4 linked regions of the Saccharomyces cerevisiae S288C genome follow. The gene in region 3 interacts genetically with the main gene of each other region. Each region holds a gene or a part of one and is shown on either strand. Other genes may lie near its edges.

Region 1 (5,080 bases), on a different chromosome or scaffold from region 3:
CTTCTAACCTTCAATACACCCCAAATTTCACCGGCTCAGGGTTCGGCGGATACACGACCACCGAGAACAATGCAATTATGACCGGCACTTTAGATCCAACAAAAACGGGGTCTAACAACCCATTTTCGCTAGAAAATATTGCCAGAGAACAGCAACAACAAAATTTCCAAAACTCCCCAAATCCTTTTACCCTCCAACAAGCACAAACCACCCCGATTCTTGCTCATAGTCAAACAGGTAATCCATTTCAGGCTCAAAACGTGGTGACATCACCAATGGGCACATACATGACGAATCCCGTGGCCGGTCAACTTCAGTATGCCTCTACTGGTGCGCAGCAGCAACCACAAATGATGCAGGGTCAGCAAACAGGGTATGTTATGGTTCCCACTGCGTTTGTCCCCATCAATCAACAACAGCAACAACAGCAGCATCAGCAAGAAAATCCTAACTTAATAGATATATAGTGAGCGATAGATACTACAGTTTTTTGTTCTCAACAGGCCGTCCTTGCATATTATAAACTCTGATTTTTAGGTAATCCCTTCCACCTTTCTATATTTTATGATACTATCCAAACATGTAAATTTTACGTACCATACATATAACCTCATCTATAATTTTTACCCTGATCTAACTAACTTTGGCATGCCTGGTTCAATCTACGGGTTACAGTCATCGTTGAAAACGATGGAAAAACATGTCGAGATTCCTCAATCCATACACCATTATAGTCCGTTTTATCAGCTTCCACTAATTTTTTAAATCTCAGTTTCTTCTTGAAATTTAGCATCGTGCATGGGATAGCGGCTAGTAAAAAAGAAAATTAATATCTCATTAACAAAGTTATTGTACATAATCCGGTACAATATTCTTCAATGTACTCTCTAATATCGAGCACACTGGCAATATTCATGCACACATTCGCCTAATGCTGACGAATGCTTAATCAGTGCAATTACTGCCACCCTCTTGATATGTGGGCTAAATCCTTTAGGACCTGTAAAAAATGCAATCACGTTTTCACATTTTTTTTTTTCTTGCGGAATTGCGGAATTTCCCAGTTGGCAGCGTTATCCGATTTGAGATCGACTTGCATCAACCTTTGAAAAATATAAGGATGAGAAAGTGAAATCGGTTTTTTTTTTCCATTGTCGTCATCAACATGATTTTTTAAATAAATAAATACGATTTTTTATTTTTTTTCCCTTCTTTGTTTTTGTTTTGCTTATTCCCATCTTCATTATTAAATTCTTCCGCTCTTAATAAAGGAGTTTTTTTATTATCTTCTTGTGTAATCATCCTTTTTCTTTAATTTTCTTCCTTTTCTTTTTCTCTTTACTGGTTTTTTTACTTCTTTATTCTCAACCATCTAAAGAATATTATTGCTTTCTACCAATAAAATCTGTTAATTCTATTTGGATTGTCGTCTACTCAAGTCTCGCCTAGTAAATAAACGATAAACAAATTTGAAGTAAGAATAACAATATAGGGAGAGAAATTTTTCTATTTTTAATTTCGAAACAGGTACCAAAAAATCTAAGTTCACTTTAGCACTATTTGGGAAAGCTTTTATATAAAAAATCTGAAACAAAATCATATCAAAGATGCAATCTCAAGATTCATGCTACGGTGTTGCATTCAGATCTATCATCACAAATGATGAAGCTTTATTCAAGAAGACCATTCACTTTTATCACACTCTAGGATTTGCAACTGTGAAAGATTTCAACAAATTCAAACATGGTGAAAATAGCTTACTATCTTCAGGGACTTCCCAAGATTCCTTGAGAGAAGTTTGGTTAGAATCTTTCAAGTTGAGTGAGGTTGATGCTTCTGGGTTCCGTATACCACAACAAGAAGCTACTAACAAGGCTCAAAGTCAAGGTGCTCTATTAAAGATTCGTTTAGTGATGTCTGCTCCAATCGATGAAACTTTCGACACCAACGAAACCGCCACAATCACTTATTTCTCTACTGATTTGAACAAGATTGTCGAGAAATTCCCAAAACAAGCCGAAAAATTGTCCGATACCTTAGTGTTTTTGAAAGATCCAATGGGCAACAACATCACCTTCTCAGGCTTAGCTAATGCAACCGATTCCGCTCCAACTTCCAAAGATGCTTTCTTAGAAGCTACCTCCGAAGACGAAATCATCTCTAGAGCTTCTTCCGATGCTTCTGACTTACTAAGACAAACATTGGGCTCTTCTCAAAAGAAGAAGAAGATTGCTGTCATGACTTCTGGTGGTGATTCTCCAGGTATGAATGCCGCTGTTCGTGCCGTTGTTCGTACAGGTATACATTTCGGCTGTGATGTTTTTGCTGTTTACGAAGGTTACGAAGGTTTACTAAGAGGCGGTAAATATTTAAAGAAAATGGCTTGGGAAGATGTCAGAGGTTGGTTAAGTGAAGGTGGTACTTTGATTGGTACTGCTCGTTCTATGGAATTCAGAAAGCGTGAGGGTCGTAGACAAGCTGCAGGCAATTTAATTTCGCAAGGTATTGACGCTTTGGTTGTTTGTGGTGGTGATGGTTCTTTAACCGGTGCTGATCTTTTCAGACACGAATGGCCATCTTTGGTTGATGAATTGGTTGCAGAAGGTAGATTCACTAAAGAAGAAGTCGCCCCATACAAGAATTTGTCCATTGTTGGTCTTGTCGGTTCCATCGATAATGATATGTCTGGTACTGACTCTACCATTGGTGCTTATTCTGCTTTGGAAAGAATCTGTGAAATGGTTGACTACATTGATGCCACCGCTAAATCCCACTCCCGTGCCTTTGTTGTTGAAGTTATGGGTAGACATTGTGGTTGGTTGGCCTTGATGGCTGGTATTGCTACCGGTGCCGATTACATTTTTATTCCAGAAAGAGCTGTTCCTCACGGAAAATGGCAGGACGAATTGAAGGAAGTGTGCCAAAGACACAGAAGTAAGGGTAGAAGAAATAACACAATTATTGTCGCTGAAGGTGCTTTAGATGATCAATTAAACCCTGTTACTGCCAATGACGTCAAAGATGCTTTGATTGAATTGGGTCTAGACACCAAGGTAACCATTCTAGGTCACGTTCAAAGAGGTGGTACAGCTGTTGCTCATGACAGATGGTTAGCTACTCTACAAGGTGTCGATGCTGTTAAGGCCGTTCTGGAATTTACCCCTGAAACTCCTTCTCCATTAATTGGTATTTTAGAAAACAAGATAATTAGAATGCCATTGGTTGAATCTGTGAAGTTGACTAAATCTGTTGCCACTGCCATTGAAAACAAAGATTTCGATAAGGCAATTTCTTTAAGAGACACAGAATTTATTGAACTTTACGAAAACTTCTTATCCACTACCGTTAAAGATGATGGTTCCGAATTATTGCCAGTATCTGACAGACTAAACATTGGTATTGTCCATGTTGGTGCCCCATCTGCTGCTTTGAACGCTGCCACCCGTGCCGCAACTCTATACTGTTTGTCTCACGGCCATAAACCATACGCTATCATGAATGGTTTCAGTGGATTGATTCAAACCGGTGAAGTGAAGGAACTATCATGGATTGATGTCGAAAACTGGCATAACTTGGGTGGTTCCGAAATCGGTACGAACAGATCTGTTGCTTCAGAAGATTTGGGTACCATTGCTTACTACTTCCAAAAGAACAAGCTAGACGGTTTGATTATTCTTGGTGGTTTTGAAGGTTTCAGGTCCTTGAAGCAATTGCGTGACGGTAGAACCCAACACCCAATCTTTAACATTCCAATGTGTTTGATTCCAGCCACTGTTTCTAACAACGTTCCAGGTACTGAATACTCACTTGGTGTTGATACCTGTTTGAACGCATTAGTCAATTACACTGATGACATCAAACAGAGTGCTTCTGCGACAAGAAGAAGAGTCTTCGTCTGTGAAGTCCAAGGTGGTCACTCTGGTTACATCGCTTCTTTCACTGGTTTAATCACTGGTGCTGTTTCAGTGTACACTCCAGAAAAGAAGATCGACTTAGCTTCTATCAGAGAAGATATAACTCTATTAAAAGAGAACTTTCGTCACGACAAAGGTGAAAACAGAAACGGTAAGCTATTGGTTAGAAACGAACAAGCTTCTAGCGTATATAGCACTCAATTGTTGGCTGACATCATCTCTGAAGCAAGCAAGGGTAAGTTTGGTGTTAGAACTGCTATCCCAGGCCATGTTCAACAAGGTGGTGTTCCATCTTCTAAAGACCGTGTCACCGCTTCCAGATTTGCTGTCAAATGTATCAAGTTTATCGAACAATGGAACAAGAAAAATGAAGCTTCTCCAAACACTGACGCTAAGGTTTTGAGATTCAAGTTCGATACTCACGGTGAAAAGGTACCAACTGTTGAGCACGAAGATGACTCTGCTGCTGTTATCTGTGTTAATGGTTCTCACGTTTCCTTCAAGCCAATTGCTAACCTTTGGGAAAACGAAACCAACGTTGAATTAAGAAAGGGTTTTGAAGTTCACTGGGCTGAATACAACAAGATTGGTGACATCCTGTCCGGTAGATTAAAGTTGAGAGCTGAGGTAGCCGCTTTAGCCGCTGAAAACAAATGAATGATTGCAATGAAAAGTTTAAGTTAAGCAAAAGGAGGTAAAAATGGCATGCACTTTAATTTTTATACAATCGTTTTTTTGTCATAAGACTTATTTATGTATCTGTTGTTTTTCTTTTTCTATCCTCTATTTTTGTCTATTTGTCTTTGTTTTACTCTTTTTCATTATTATTTCTTTATATAATTTTTGTACGATATGATACACATAACAATGAGCAATGAACATATTTCTAATCCTAACCATTAGATATACTTTTCAACTGAGGAATAATGGCGCCTTGATTAAACTAAGCTATGGAATTTGCATTATTCAAGTTTTAGGGTGTGCTTAATCTGCGTTGACAATGGTTCACGAAGACGACATCGGCAACTTTGCTGTACTACAAATTGCTCTGAATGTGAGGCTGATCCACATCATAGTGAGGCGCGCTACCTTAATTGTAGTCGTATTGTCATCGGTCTACGAATACCGTTTGGTTTATTTGTCGGCCTTTTTTCTTTCCGTTTCTT
Region 2 (6,411 bases), on a different chromosome or scaffold from region 3:
AGAGCAAAGGTGCCTGTAAAGATCCTCTTATTCATCAAAGCCTGGTCGAAGATTATTAGTTGTGCCAAGGCAATATCAGGTTTATTAATCTTTTAGGAAAAATGTAAGGTTGTTACGTCTCTTTCCGTCTCGCGGAAAAACATTTTTACTCAAGCCGTCCGTGGGATGATTTTTGGTGGTTATCATTTTCCAAGACTCCAGACAAAAGAACGTGCAGGCGCTTGGCAAAAAGAAAAAAAAAAAAAGCGAGAGGGAAAAGTGGCGCGGTGCCAATACTACCGGTACTTGTTCTTGAATAAGCTATCAGATGGTCAAAATAGGGCTAGAAGAAAAATGGTAAAATAAAGTAAAAAAAGGTAAAAGATAATTTTTGAAGAACTAAAAAATATGTAAATGAATATGTATTCTACGGGTAGTTTTCTGCCTTACAAAATTATGGCAGCGAAAACAGAATGGTGGAAGAAAGTAAAGAGGGTATCGAAATAATATCTTAATTTAAGAATGAAAACATCGTAATGAAGAAACGAACATGTTGGAATTGTATCATTAGAATACAACTGGAAGAGCGAGTAGCAACCACATAAAGTTTCCAAGAACCTTGATATTAGCAGCACCTTGGTAAGTACTCGAGATAGAAGGAACAGAGTATGTAGCGACTGCAGAACCAGAAGCAGATTGTAGTGGACCAGTTAGAGATGGAGATGTGACAACGGGAGCCACGCTAGAAGCAGAAGCTGTTGTAGCTAGTTGGGATGTAGTCTTGATTGAAATAGGGTTGGTTGCTGTGGCCACAGTTTCGTAATTCTTGGCACCATTTGAACCTGGAATCAAAGTGGTTATGTAAGTGGTTGGGATGGACTTGGTTGTGTAACCAGTTGTTGTTTCGCCAGCGGAGTTAGTACCAACAGATGACTCAGTGGTAATAACTGTGGTTGGAATAGCCGTCGTGACAGGGGTGGTAGCCGAAGGTGCAGTGTTTTCGCCTGCGCTTGCAGAACTTACGATAGTCTTAGCAGAGCATACAGATGTAGTTTCACCGGCAGCGTTTGTAGCAGCAGAACATTCAGTAGTGGTTATTGTAGTTGGTACGGCATTAGTGGCAGGAGTTACTGGTGCACTTGGAGCCAAAGTGGTTACATAGGTGGTTGGTACAGACTTTGTTGTGTAACCAGTTGTCGTCTTACCAGCGGAGTTAGTACCCGTAGAGGATTCAGTGGTAACAACGGTGGTTGTGACAGCTGTTGTAACAAGGGTGGTAGCTTCAGTAGTGTATTCGCCAGTACCAGTTGAACAAGGAACAGTGGTTGTGACAGTCTTTGGAGAGCATCCAGAGGTAGTTTCACCGGCAGAGTTTGTACCTGTAGAGCAAACCGTAGTAGTAATAGTGGTTGGGGTGAAATTGGTAACCGTAGTGACTGATGGAGTTGGAGCAATTGTGGTTAGGTAAGTGGTTGGAATGTTTTTGGTGACAAATGTAGTTGTAATTTCACCACCTGGTTTTGTACTAGTAGAATACTCAGTAGTAACGACGGTGGTTGAGACAACTGTAGTTACAGGTGTGGTAGGTGAAGTGGTTGTTGATTCCGAGGCGGTTTCGCTTGGACTGGTTGAACATGGAACAGTAGTTGTAATGGTCTTTGGAGAGCATCCAGAGGTAGTTTCACCGGCAGAGTTTGTTCCTGTAGAGCAAACTGTAGTAGTAATAGTGGTTGTTGATGATGTAGTGACAGAAGTCGTAGTTGTAGTTGGAACAGTAGTTGTAACGGTCTTTGGAGAGCATCCAGAGGTAGTTTCACCGGCAGAGTTTGTTCCTGTAGAGCAAACCGTAGTGGTAATAGTGGTTGTTGATGGTGTAGTGACAGAAGTCGTAGTTTTAGTTGGAACAATGGTAGTTTCGGTTGTAGAAGAAACAGAGGTTTCTGTTTGACTGCCAGGGTATTTGGATGATGATGGAGTGACAGTAGTGCCAGTAGAAAAGCTTTCAGTAGTAGAGCTGAATGGAATTGAAGATGGAGCGGAGGAAGTGATGTTGCTAGAGGAAGATGGGGTTGGTACTGGTGCTACAGAGCTTTCAGTGGTGGAGCTGGATACTGGAGCAGAAGAGCTTTCAGTAGTAGAGCTTGATGGGGTTGGTACTGGAACAGAAGAGCTTTCAGTGCTAGAGCTGAATGGGGTTGAAGATGGAGCGGAGGAAGTGATGTTGCTAGAGGAAGATGGGGTTGGTACTGGTGCTACAGAGCTTTCAGTAGTAGAGCTTGATGGGGTTGGTACTGGAGCAGAAGAGCTTTCGGTAGTAGAGCTGGATGGAGTTGGCACTGGAGCAGAAGAGCTTTCAGTAGTAGAGCTGGATGGAGTTGGTACTGGAGCAGAAGAGCTTTCAGTGGTAGAGCTGGTTACTGGAGCAGAAGAGCTTTCAGTAGTAGAGCTGGATGGAGTTGGTACTGGAGCAGAAGAGCTTTCAGTAGTAGAGCTGGATGGAGTTGGTACTGGAGCAGAAGAGCTTTCAGTAGTAGAGCTGGATGGAGTTGGTACTGGAGCAGAAGAGCTTTCAGTGGTAGAGCTGGTTACTGGAGCAGAAGAGCTTTCAGTGGTAGAGCTGGTTACTGGAGCAGAAGAGCTTTCAGTAGTAGAGCTGGATGGAGTTGGTACTGGAGCAGAAGAGCTTTCAGTAGTAGAGCTGGATGGGGTTGGTACTGGAGCAGAAGAGCTTTCAGTAGTAGAGCTGGATGGAGTTGGTACTGGAGCAGAAGAGCTTTCAGTGGTAGAGCTGGTTACTGGAGCAGAAGAGCTTTCAGTAGTAGAGCTTGATGGGGTTGGAGCTGGAGCAGAAGAGCTTTCAGTAGTAGAGCTTGATGGAGTTGGTACTGGAGCAGAAGAGCTTTCAGTAGTAGAGCTTGATGGAGTTGGCACTGGAGCAGAAGAGCTTTCAGTGGTGGAGCTGGTTACTGGAGTAGAAGAGCTTTCAGTAGTAGAGCTGGATGGAGTTGGTACTGGAGCAGAAGAGCTTTCAGTGGTAGAGCTGGTTACTGGAGCAGAAGAGCTTTCAGTGGTGGAGCTTGATGGGGTTGGAGCTGGAGCAGAAGAGCTTTCAGTAGTAGAGCTGGATGGAGTTGGTACTGGAGCAGAAGAGCTTTCAGTGGTAGAGCTGGTTACTGGAGCAGAAGAGCTTTCAGTAGTAGAGCTGGATGGAGTTGGTACTGGAGCAGAAGAGCTTTCAGTGGTAGAGCTGGTTACTGGAGCAGAAGAGCTTTCAGTAGTAGAGCTGGATGGAGTTGGTACTGGAGCAGAAGAGCTTTCAGTGGTAGAGCTGGTTACTGGAGCAGAAGAGCTTTCAGTGGTAGAGCTGGTTACTGGAGCAGAAGAGCTTTCAGTGGTAGAGCTGGTTACTGGAGCAGAAGAGCTTTCAGTGGTAGAGCTGGTTACTGGAGCAGAAGAGCTTTCAGTAGTAGAGCTGGATGGAGTTGGTACTGGAGCAGAAGAGCTTTCAGTGGTAGAGCTGGTTACTGGAGCAGAAGAGCTTTCAGTGGTAGAGCTGGTTACTGGAGCAGAAGAGCTTTCAGTAGTAGAGCTTGATGGGGTTGGTACTGGAGCAGAAGAGCTTTCAGTGGTAGAGCTGGTTACTGGAGCAGAAGAGCTTTCAGTAGTAGAGCTGGATGGAGTTGGTACTGGAGCAGAAGAACTTTCAGTAGTAGAGCTTGATGGGGTTGGTACTGGAGTAGTAGTCTTCTTAGTGCATGTCTTAGATGTGGTAGTTTTCTTCTTTGTACATGGAGTGGTGTCGTGATGAGGAGGTGTAGGCTTTTCCTTTGTGCATGAGGTAGTGGTTGGGGGTGTAGGCTTTTCCTTAGTGCATGAGGTAGTGGTTGGTGTAGCAGGAGCGGTGGTTGATGATGATGTAGATGACTCGGAAGTGCTAGATGTAGTGGTAGATGACTCGGAAGTGCTAGATGTAGTGGTAGATGACTCGGAAGTGCTAGATGTAGTGGTAGATGACTCGGAAGTGCTAGATGTAGTGGTAGATGACTTCGTACCGCCACAATTATTGTCACAATCTATGTTCCAATAGAAGCCTGGGAAATCCGTTTGAGAGTGGCCTTGATTGTCATAGTTGTTACAACCAGTAGACAAATCAAAAGATGTAGTTCCCCATTGCCAGGAGCTTGCATATTGAGCGGCACTACCTTGCAAATACTCGAATTGAATTTGGAAGTTAGGCATCCACACCTGACAGCTGTTGACATCTTGTGTGGCATAAACTTCAAAAGTGGCTGTGAAATCAGTTGGGTTGTCAATCAAATAGGTATTTTCGTTGTAACCGTATAGTTGGACGGTACCTTTTGGACCAGTGACACCAATGATTTTCAAAGACCATAGATACTTCAGGTCAATATTTTCTTTACCTTTGACATGAATAGTGATTTGGTATGTGTTGTCTTGAACCCAAGAAACGGAAGTCACATCCAAAGTATACTGCATGATATTTTGCTGGTCCATGTGCCAATTGAAGTCTAAGTTGGGACAGCCATTAACGATAGAATTACAGCTAGTTCCTTCGGAGGATCCTCTTGGAACTAGTGCAGTTGGAAAACCCAAAGCCGAGTTAAATAGAAGCGAAAGGACCAAATAAGCGAGTAGAAATGGTCTTTGCATAGTGTGCGTATATGGATTTTTGAGGCCTACAAAAGTATATTTTAATTAGAACCACAACATGACGAGGGATAATAACTGATGAATAGGGTGCTTTTTATACGTTTATTTTAGGAAGCAAGAGATCCTTTTTATCAATTGGGAACCCTTCAACAATTTGTACTGGTAAGTCTATGAGTTATCCGTTCTTGAACTAGAAGAGAGCGCAGTAACGTAAATGCTTGAACATATTTGTTAAGGTAAATAAAACTGCCCTAATTTTTTATTTAATTCGAACACGGACATTCCTCAGATAAGACAAGTCTAACAGTTAATTCAAAGTAGAAAGAGCTTAATTTCTCCGTAAAAGAACGAAGTATATTGCGATGATGCCTTGAATCCCAATTGGTAACTCTATGACATTTTTGTAAAGGTTACCTCATCAGAAGAGAACGGACCTAAAAAGATGACCCACATTTCTCTAGAAACAATCGTACCCTAATAGTTGCTTTAAATTGCTCAGCGGTCAAGAAAACGTATCATAATGTTATTCTATTCTTGAGCAGGCACTTTTAGGGTTGGGCAATGTCCTCAAAGTAAATATTAGTAAACAAACGAATACCTCCAAATCCATTGAATTGAAAATCCATTCCAAGCTCTGCGCTTCCAATTGTTAATCACACCACCGATAGGCAATAGAAGTTCTGTCCGTGAAGATACCGCAGAATGAGTTGTGCCCGTATTGTTGCACCTAATTACGGAATCCCAAGGTATGCGATGTCCCAGTACGACCGTTAAAAAGACAACATGAATGACTGATCTGTTTAAGAGTATAGGCAGAAATAAAAAAGTTTGTGCAATGCCTGACAAAAAAAAGCTAATTTTTCTTTTAAGAAAGAATGTCATTCTTTTACCGCAAAGTTAATTTCTGCCTACAATCACCTTCTAAACGCTCGGACTGATTGCCTTGAGCAATCAGCAGTTCTTTGAAGCCACTGTCGCAACAAAGAAAAAGAAAAGGGAAGTCCATTCTTAGCCCCAAAGAAAAGGATGACAAAAAAAAGAAAAAAAGTTAACTCGTACCAGTAAAGCCTAATTTTGCAGTGATCGCTAGCCCCAGAGAAGGACTAAAGACAAAAAGGACCCACTCGATAGGAAAATAACGGCCGAAACTCTTTGGGCGACATTTTCTTGTTAAGAAAACAGAAGAAAAAAACCTTAATTTGAACTTTCCAGGCACACCCAAAAAGGATTATGCTTATGTAATGCCACATTCCGAGAAACTGAAAGGCAAAAAAGAAAAAGCCTTTTTTTTCCTGCCGCGAAAGTTTAATTTGCCTACCGGCGTTCCTATTGGAGTCAGGAAAAGATCACTAGGAATTACAGCTGTGAGAACATACTCTGGGGCTGGCGTAGGCACACAATCCGGTATTCCTAAAGTTTTGTGGTACAAAACTCCATACCTAAAACATAAAACAAATCTCACCCGTGGATCCTTTTATTCATAATACCCCGTCCTGCACGCCGTGGAACTGAGTCTAAGTTGACAAGGCTACGAATGAATTTTGGGAAATGCATACGAAGAGGACTGAAAAAGTAGCAGGTTTCATGTGGTGGAAATACCGATTAGCGCATTCACATTCGTGTTAGGGTCCGTTTTCCCGCACAGCTTTCGAAATATGAAACAATGTCCGTCTGCGTCAGCAGCTCAGATAAGGAAAAAAGAGATGGTAAAAAACATTCGAGAAAAACAAGTACTGCAGGTGCATGTCCTCAATGCATGCA
Region 3 (4,018 bases):
AACTGGCACGTTAAGGACGGCCACTTTGTTGAATTCGTGTTTAGGTAATCATAAAGTAGTTTAGTGTTTTTCTTCCAGTGCGAGTATCTTTCTTGCAAATCGATGGGTATACTGGAGGCTTCATGAGTTATGTCCTTCGCGCACTGATTCATCTTTGAAACTAAATTTGTATATTGTTTGTCAGAAATAGGACCTGATATCCTCCTTTTAAACAGTTGATGAGAACCTTTTTCGCAAGTTCAAGGTGCTCTAATTTTTAAAATTTTTACTTTTCGCGACACAATAAAGTCTTCACGACGCTAAACTATTAGTGCACATAATGTAGTTACTTGGACGCTGTTCAATAATGTATAAAATTTATTTCCTTTGCATTACGTACATTATATAACCAAATCTTAAAAATATAGAAATATGATATGTGTATAATAATATAAGCAAAATTTACGTATCTTTGCTTATAATATAGCTTTAATGTTCTTTAGGTATATATTTAAGAGCGATTTGTTCACATCCATTCCTTGAATTGATTGATTAAACCGTTGGTAGAAGCATCGTGGGTAGAAATGGTGGAGGAGTTGTCCAATTCCTTGCCGATGACTTTAGCCAAGACTTTACCCAATTCAACACCCCATTGGTCGAAAGAGTTGATATTCCAAATGGCACCTTCAGTGAAAGTAACATGTTCGTAGTAGGCAATCAAAGCACCCAAAGTAGCTGGAGTAATCTTTTGAGCCAAGATAGAGGTAGTTGGTCTGTTACCTGAGAAGACCTTGTGTGGGACCAAACCACCAGTGGCACCTTCAGCCTTAACTTGTTCTTCATCCTTACCAACCATTAAAGCTTCAGCTTGAGCAAAGAAGTTTGAAGCCAACATCTTTTGATGTAATTTGTTCTCAATTGGGTTATGAGATTGAGCAGCTAAGATGAAATCAGATGGAATCAACTTGGTACCTTGGTGAACCAATTGGAAGAAAGAGTGTTGAGCGTTGGTAGCTGGTTCACCAAACAAGATAGAACCAGTAGAGTAGTCAGTAAACACGTTACCTCTGGTAACAGACTTACCGTTAGATTCCATTGACAATTGTTGCAAGTAGGCTGGGAATCTGTGCAAGTATTGGTCGAATGGAGCAACCAAATGGGTTTGAGCACCAAAGAAGTTGTTGTACCAGACAGACAACAAACCACCCAACAATGGAATGTTGTCTTCCAATGGGGTTTGGGTGAAGTGGTTGTCGACGGCTTCAGCACCCTTCAAGAAAGCCTCAAAGTTGTCATAGCCAATGTACAAGGCAACAGACAAACCAATAGCCGACCAGACAGAGTAACGACCACCGACCCAACTTTCGAAACCAAACATGTTTTTGGTGTCAATACCGAACTTGGCAACTTCGGTTTCGTTAGTGGACAAAGCAGCGAAATGCTTAGCAATGTGAGATGGATCATTACCTGTCTTCGACAAGAACCAGTTCTTGGCAGTGTTAGCGTTAGTGATAGTTTCAGCGGTAGTGAAAGTCTTGGAAGCAATCAAAAACAAAGTAGTTTCTGGGTCAACAACCTTCAAGGTTTCAGCAATGTGAGTACCGTCAATGTTGGAAACGAAGTGGACATCCAAGACACCAGCGTAGTGCTTCAAAGCCTCAGTGACCATGACTGGACCCAAATCGGAACCACCAATACCGATGTTAACAACATCGGTGATCTTCTTACCGGTATAACCCTTCCATTCACCAGAACGAACTTGTTCAGAGAACTCCTTCATGTGCTTCAAGACAGAGTCGACTTCTGGAGCAACGTTGACACCATCAACGTACATTGGCTTGTTAGCTCTGTTTCTCAATGCGACGTGGTAGACAGCACGATCTTCAGTGGAGTTGATGTGTTCACCTTTGAACATAGCATCTCTCAAACCGGTGACGTTAGCCTCCTTGGCCAGTTCAATCAATGCAGCAATGATTTCATCGTTGACCAAGTTCTTTGAGTAGTCGAACAAGATTTTGGAACCATCATAGTTGGTGAAAGTCTTGTTCAATTTTTCAAAACGCTTGGCATCTTTTTGGAATTCTTGCTTGACAGACAAAGTCTTACCTTGAGATTCATAAATTTTTTGCAACTTAGACCAGGCTGGCAATTCAGTGGCCAGTTTGAAGTTAGTGAATGAGTTATTGGACATTTTTAGGCTGGTATCTTGATTCTAAATCGATTTTGCAAGACTAGAGGAATATGTATTAAAATTCACTGAATGCAAGTAAAATATTAAGTAAAAGAAAGCATTGATTATGAAGAAAGGACCTTTTTAAGATATGAGAACAATGAGAAAAGGAAAAATGGGACGAAACAAATAGGGAAAATTCCGTCTGTAAAACCAATTGTAGTAACAAAAAACGCTCATTTCAATAGCAAAAAAATAGAATACCGTCAATGGATATATATAGACACGGGACATTATAACAACGTGCAGATGGTGATGATTGCAAACCCAAAAAATTACCAGCTTCCTGTAATTCCAGGTTGAGCGCGTGGCTTCCTATAATCCAATACACCCACACCCACCCAGATCGTGATTTTTGTTACCATCCCGGTTCTTGCCTCATTGACATATTTTTCTGACGGTGACAGAACGTGGCCTTGTACACTCTTTTTTAATGTTACGCTGGCACAACATAGTTCAACGAAAAACGAATTAAGTTCTTACTTCCGTGTTTTAATCAGAAAACGATATTCCAATGAGAGATATAAGCGTAAGGTAGCATGTCCGATGGCAAAATTCTCTTTGCTTCCGCAGCGGGGCCAAAGTCTTACTCGCCTCTAACCCCACGTAGGACAAGTGCTGAGAATAAAATAGTCTTGGCGTAGTATGCCTTCTTCAGTAATATTTTTTCTTTTGAAAGTACTACCCACATCCGAACATTGCCACTTACATAGCGATGCAAATAGCCGCCAGGAAATGCCGCATGTTATCCACTAAGAATAGTCAACATTGCATAGCATCCAAATACGTGAAAGCGGACCGATCTTGAGCGAAATGTTTAGTACCGTTGATGTGTAGAAGTAGTGCCCTGAAATACATAGCGGTGTATTATTTAGCATTAACATACAAAAAAAAAATAACGGAGGCACCAATGGAAGTGGTGTCGCTACATTAGTTTTTAACTCAGTCAGAAAACTGAATTTAGTTGATATGGGACCGCTCCAAGGTAGGAGAATACTAGATCAAGTAAAGCAACCGCACTAGTGCCTTTTTCAAACAAGGTGGTTTGATGAGGAGGCTTTCTACAATCCTAGAAATATAAGACATCTGTCAGATTAGCCGCCGTTCATATGGTTTCAAAAGGTTGCGAATGGAGACAAACGTTCCTCGTCCCAAATTAGCCAGACGGAACAGGACAATAAAGGTGATAATGTAATCCATGACTTCCTCTATTTTAGACGGGACTTTTAGCATCCTCTAAATATTTTCAACCCATACATGTCATCAGCATCGGTGAACATCTTTAATAGTATCGACAACTTGGCTCACGTACTTCTCACCGTCAAGTGCGATTTCCGGGTCATGCAATACCTCGTCTGGTTCTTGATCTTTATTCGTGGCAGAATTATGCTGATCCTTATGAGGAGGGCTCCTCAGCTTGGCATACTTTAGTCGCTGATTTCTTTCCCTCATTAATCGCAGTAGTTGAGCGTGCGACTTGCGCATTTGCGTGAGATTGCTCTCAAAATCTCGTGGGAACCCGTCGTTGACGATAGGTTCTTTCGCCATCTTCTTCACATCATCCAGTGTATCGATTTCAGACCATGATACGTCTTGCGTCTCCGTAGGTGCCAGGTTTGAGTGCATTGTTATACGGCTACCATTTACGCTTCTTTCGTATGCAGTATTACCCCTACTAATGCTGGTCGTTAAGGGGTTTAGTGCTGGAGGCGTGGTTAGGTTTTTGGTCGGAAGTGCGTTGGAACTGCCCATTATAGAGGCAGTGGAATCTGAAGATCCCTTTCTTTTATCTTTGTCGCTCTTTGCCTT
Region 4 (3,644 bases), on a different chromosome or scaffold from region 3:
ATCATTTGTTTTATATGTTGATGTTGCGTAGTCACTATTAGTAATACCAATACCCAGCGGGGTTGCAGGGAATACAATGGAAAGACCTAAAGAAAATAGAAAACGGATTTAAACGGAAATGGGCGGACATTTAGTCATATGTGCGCGGAACCAGACGACTGGGAAAGGATCGAAAGGCATCCGCGGAAACTTAAAATAGCTCCGCGGATGCTAGATTTCTACGAGTCATACATAGTCTGGCGTGAAGGTAATTTTTTTTTATGTCTCCGTTCTTTTCCAAATGGGGTGATCCGTGGAGGGCGGTGCTTCTTTCGCGCCACTTCCTTGCCGTGGAAAAATGTGTACGGTTACCATGGTCACATAACCTCTGTGTGCGGAGCCACTCTGACTCGCATCAACCGGGCTATGGTTGCATCGGATGCTGGAATGGGTTCTATTGGACTCACCAACTTGTTTCTTTATAGAGTGTAAGAGGTATGAGTAAACTTTTAATATTTAAAGGTTGTTCCAAGAAGGTGTTTAGTGTTATTGTTCGTACAAACAAGTACCCAAGGCAGGCTTCGAAACTATAATTGCGTCTTTTAGTTCTTCATCTGTGAGATCCGGATATCTTACATTGTAGAATTTTTCGATTAGTGCTTTTCGTACCTGTTCCACGTTCCCATTAGCGCCACTAGGAACAAGGTGGATAGTGCAACCGCCCCAACCAGCGCCAGTGAGACGGGAGCCGAAAGAACCATTTGCTAGGGCAATCGAGCATATTTGATTGGTTTCTATGCACGAACATTCATAAAGTTTATCACAAGAGGCCTGGGACTCATTCATTAGTCGGCCAAAATCTGTAAAGAAATCTTCGTCCGTGTGAAAAGTGGCACTTGTCATCATTTTTAAAGCCTTAAGCACCCTTAAGGATTCGGAGTAAACGTGTTTAGCTCTTTGATATAGTTTCAAGACTTGGAAGCGGACGGGAAAAGTTGTCAGGTAATCTCTAGTGAACTCCTCACGTGAACAGTTTAGCGCCGTAGAGGCTTCATGTACAGTGAATCCGCTCTTTTTCCTCGAGAAAGATTCTTCTACCAATTGTAGCATCTTGAGTAAACGTTCAATACCAGTTCCGATATCTCCATTCCATGGTTGGGCTTGGTTTTCGTATCTGGCGTAGTAAGCATCCATAAAATCTCTTAGATTCCCTCTTTCTGAGTTAGAATTGTCCTTGTGAGATGGTAAGGCCACGCTGTATCTGGTCGCCAAGGCGTTGGCAGCAACTGTTACCTCTATTACTCTTAAATTGTAATTTGTAGGAGCAGTTTCGAATTTATTAGACTTTACAAGAGTATTGGCGATGACGAAACTGATTTCATGATTTTTCAATTGAGGAAACTTGAAAGGTGTGGCCTTTAGTTTTGGCCTAAACTCTACGTATAGAGCATGATCTTCTTCCCCATAAACAGACGTTGCTTGATCCATACCACCATTATTGACTCCAACATAGTGCTCAGCAACCGCTGTGATGCGGGTCAAGTCTTTTTTGGAAATATCAAAATTTTTTCCCATATTGGCTCTAATTGTGGCTAGTGCTGCCGCGCAAGTAAATGCAGATGAGAGTCCACCACCAGTAGGAATATCGCTCTGGCAAAAGATCTGCGCACCTACTAAGGGTGTATTATTAAATCTTTCCGGAGCAATTTTTTTCAAGTATGAATGTGCCACATGTAGTCCGCATTTAAAGTAATTCGACCATTCCGACACAGACGGATCTATGGCCATGTAGGAACCATCTAAAGGCAGATCAAACTTTCGCTGAGCAAATTTAGGGTCCGCATTTGTTAAGGTAATGGATGGATTTTTTTCGTCTAAAATTTTAACTGCGCAAAGCATATCCACATCAATGGCTAATGGCAAAACTGAAAAATCGCAATAATCTATATGCTCACCAATCAGATTTACTCTGCCAGGAGACCTAGCGATAAAATCAGGTTTGACATGGTATGTTTGGAAAAATGCATCTACAACCGCTAAATGTTTTTGTTCGAAAGACCTTGGTAAATCTCTGACCGGAGAACTGAATATTGGAACGTTTGTATTCATACTATGTGTTGCCCTACCTTTTTACTTTTATTTTCTCTTTTTGCACTCCTGATTCCGCTAATAGGAAGTATGAATACCTGGGGTTGTCAATGTGGTAACAAAGGTGTTGCCTCACTTGTCGCTTATGATGATTATATACGTTTCAGTAAAAATTTTACTGCCTATGTGTTGCAGGCGGTCAATCAATTGCATAAAAGACCGTGTGATGGCTTGGCATGGCGATTTCATTCTTTCAAGAATTCCACATGTTAAAATAGTGAAGGAGCATGTTCGGCACACAGTGGACCGAACGTGGGGTAAGTGCACTAGGGTCCGGTTAAACGGATCTCGCATTGATGAGGCAACGCTAATTATCAACATATAGATTGTTATCTATCTGCATGAACACGAAATCTTTACTTGACGACTTGAGGCTGATGGTGTTTATGCAAAGAAACCACTGTGTTTAATATGTGTCACTGTTTGATATTACTGTCAGCGTAGAAGATAATAGTAAAAGCGGTTAATAAGTGTATTTGAGATAAGTGTGATAAAGTTTTTACAGCGAAAAGACGATAAATACAAGAAAATGATTACGAGGATACGGAGAGAGGTATGTACATGTGTATTTATATACTAAGCTGCCGGCGGTTGTTTGCAAGACCGAGAAAAGGCTAGCAAGAATCGGGTCATTGTAGCGTATGCGCCTGTGAACATTCTCTTCAACAAGTTTGATTCCATTGCGGTGAAATGGTAAAAGTCAACCCCCTGCGATGTATATTTTCCTGTACAATCAATCAAAAAGCCAAATGATTTAGCATTATCTTTACATCTTGTTATTTTACAGATTTTATGTTTAGATCTTTTATGCTTGCTTTTCAAAAGGCCTGCAGGCAAGTGCACAAACAATACTTAAATAAATACTACTCAGTAATAACCTATTTCTTAGCATTTTTGACGAAATTTGCTATTTTGTTAGAGTCTTTTACACCATTTGTCTCCACACCTCCGCTTACATCAACACCAATAACGCCATTTAATCTAAGCGCATCACCAACATTTTCTGGCGTCAGTCCACCAGCTAACATAAAATGTAAGCTTTCGGGGCTCTCTTGCCTTCCAACCCAGTCAGAAATCGAGTTCCAATCCAAAAGTTCACCTGTCCCACCTGCTTCTGAATCAAACAAGGGAATAAACGAATGAGGTTTCTGTGAAGCTGCACTGAGTAGTATGTTGCAGTCTTTTGGAAATACGAGTCTTTTAATAACTGGCAAACCGAGGAACTCTTGGTATTCTTGCCACGACTCATCTCCATGCAGTTGGACGATATCAATGCCGTAATCATTGACCAGAGCCAAAACATCCTCCTTAGGTTGATTACGAAACACGCCAACCAAGTATTTCGGAGTGCCTGAACTATTTTTATATGCTTTTACAAGACTTGAAATTTTCCTTGCAATAACCGGGTCAATTGTTCTCTTTCTATTGGGCACACATATAATACCCAGCAAGTCAGCATCGGAATCTAGAGCACATTCTGCGGCCTCTGTGCTCTGCAAGCCGCAAACTTTCACCAA

What was found.
Region 1: of PGI1 (region 3) and PFK1, changing one enhances a phenotype caused by changing the other (phenotypic enhancement), as found in Saccharomyces cerevisiae (one study listed by BioGRID).
Region 2: of PGI1 (region 3) and FLO11, changing one suppresses a phenotype caused by changing the other (phenotypic suppression), as found in Saccharomyces cerevisiae (one study listed by BioGRID).
Region 4: of PGI1 (region 3) and GAL3, changing one enhances a phenotype caused by changing the other (phenotypic enhancement), as found in Saccharomyces cerevisiae (one study listed by BioGRID).

Annotation. Positions count from the first base shown.
Region 1 is NC_001139.9:970,262-975,341, reverse strand, and holds PFK1 (6-phosphofructokinase subunit alpha), read left to right. Parts: upstream 1-1,607; coding exon 1,608-4,571; downstream 4,572-5,080. Other genes in the region: YAP1802 (Yap1802p), read left to right, coding at 1-467; YGR240C-A (uncharacterized protein), read left to right, coding at 565-765. UniProt on the Saccharomyces cerevisiae protein: Catalyzes the phosphorylation of D-fructose 6-phosphate to fructose 1,6-bisphosphate by ATP, the first committing step of glycolysis.
Region 2 is NC_001141.2:389,026-395,436, forward strand, and holds FLO11 (Flo11p), read right to left. Parts: upstream 4,651-6,411; coding exon 547-4,650; downstream 1-546. Other genes in the region: YIR020C (uncharacterized protein), read right to left, coding at 5,230-5,532. UniProt on the Saccharomyces cerevisiae protein: Homophilic binding protein that enables kin discrimination in heterogeneous yeast populations by mediating homotypic cell-cell interactions during flocculation, a reversible and asexual process in which cells adhere to form aggregates (flocs).
Region 3 is NC_001134.8:611,731-615,748, forward strand, and holds PGI1 (glucose-6-phosphate isomerase), read right to left. Parts: upstream 2,171-4,018; coding exon 506-2,170; downstream 1-505. Other genes in the region: MSI1 (Msi1p), read right to left, coding at 1-152; YBR196C-A (uncharacterized protein), read right to left, coding at 2,294-2,443; YBR196C-B (uncharacterized protein), read right to left, coding at 2,796-2,900; YBR197C (uncharacterized protein), read right to left, coding at 3,473-4,018. UniProt on the Saccharomyces cerevisiae protein: In the cytoplasm, catalyzes the conversion of glucose-6-phosphate to fructose-6-phosphate, the second step in glycolysis, and the reverse reaction during gluconeogenesis.
Region 4 is NC_001136.10:461,878-465,521, reverse strand, and holds GAL3 (transcriptional regulator GAL3), read right to left. Parts: upstream 2,089-3,644; coding exon 526-2,088; downstream 1-525. Other genes in the region: YDR010C (uncharacterized protein), read left to right, coding at 139-471; phosphoribosylanthranilate isomerase TRP1, read right to left, coding at 3,006-3,644.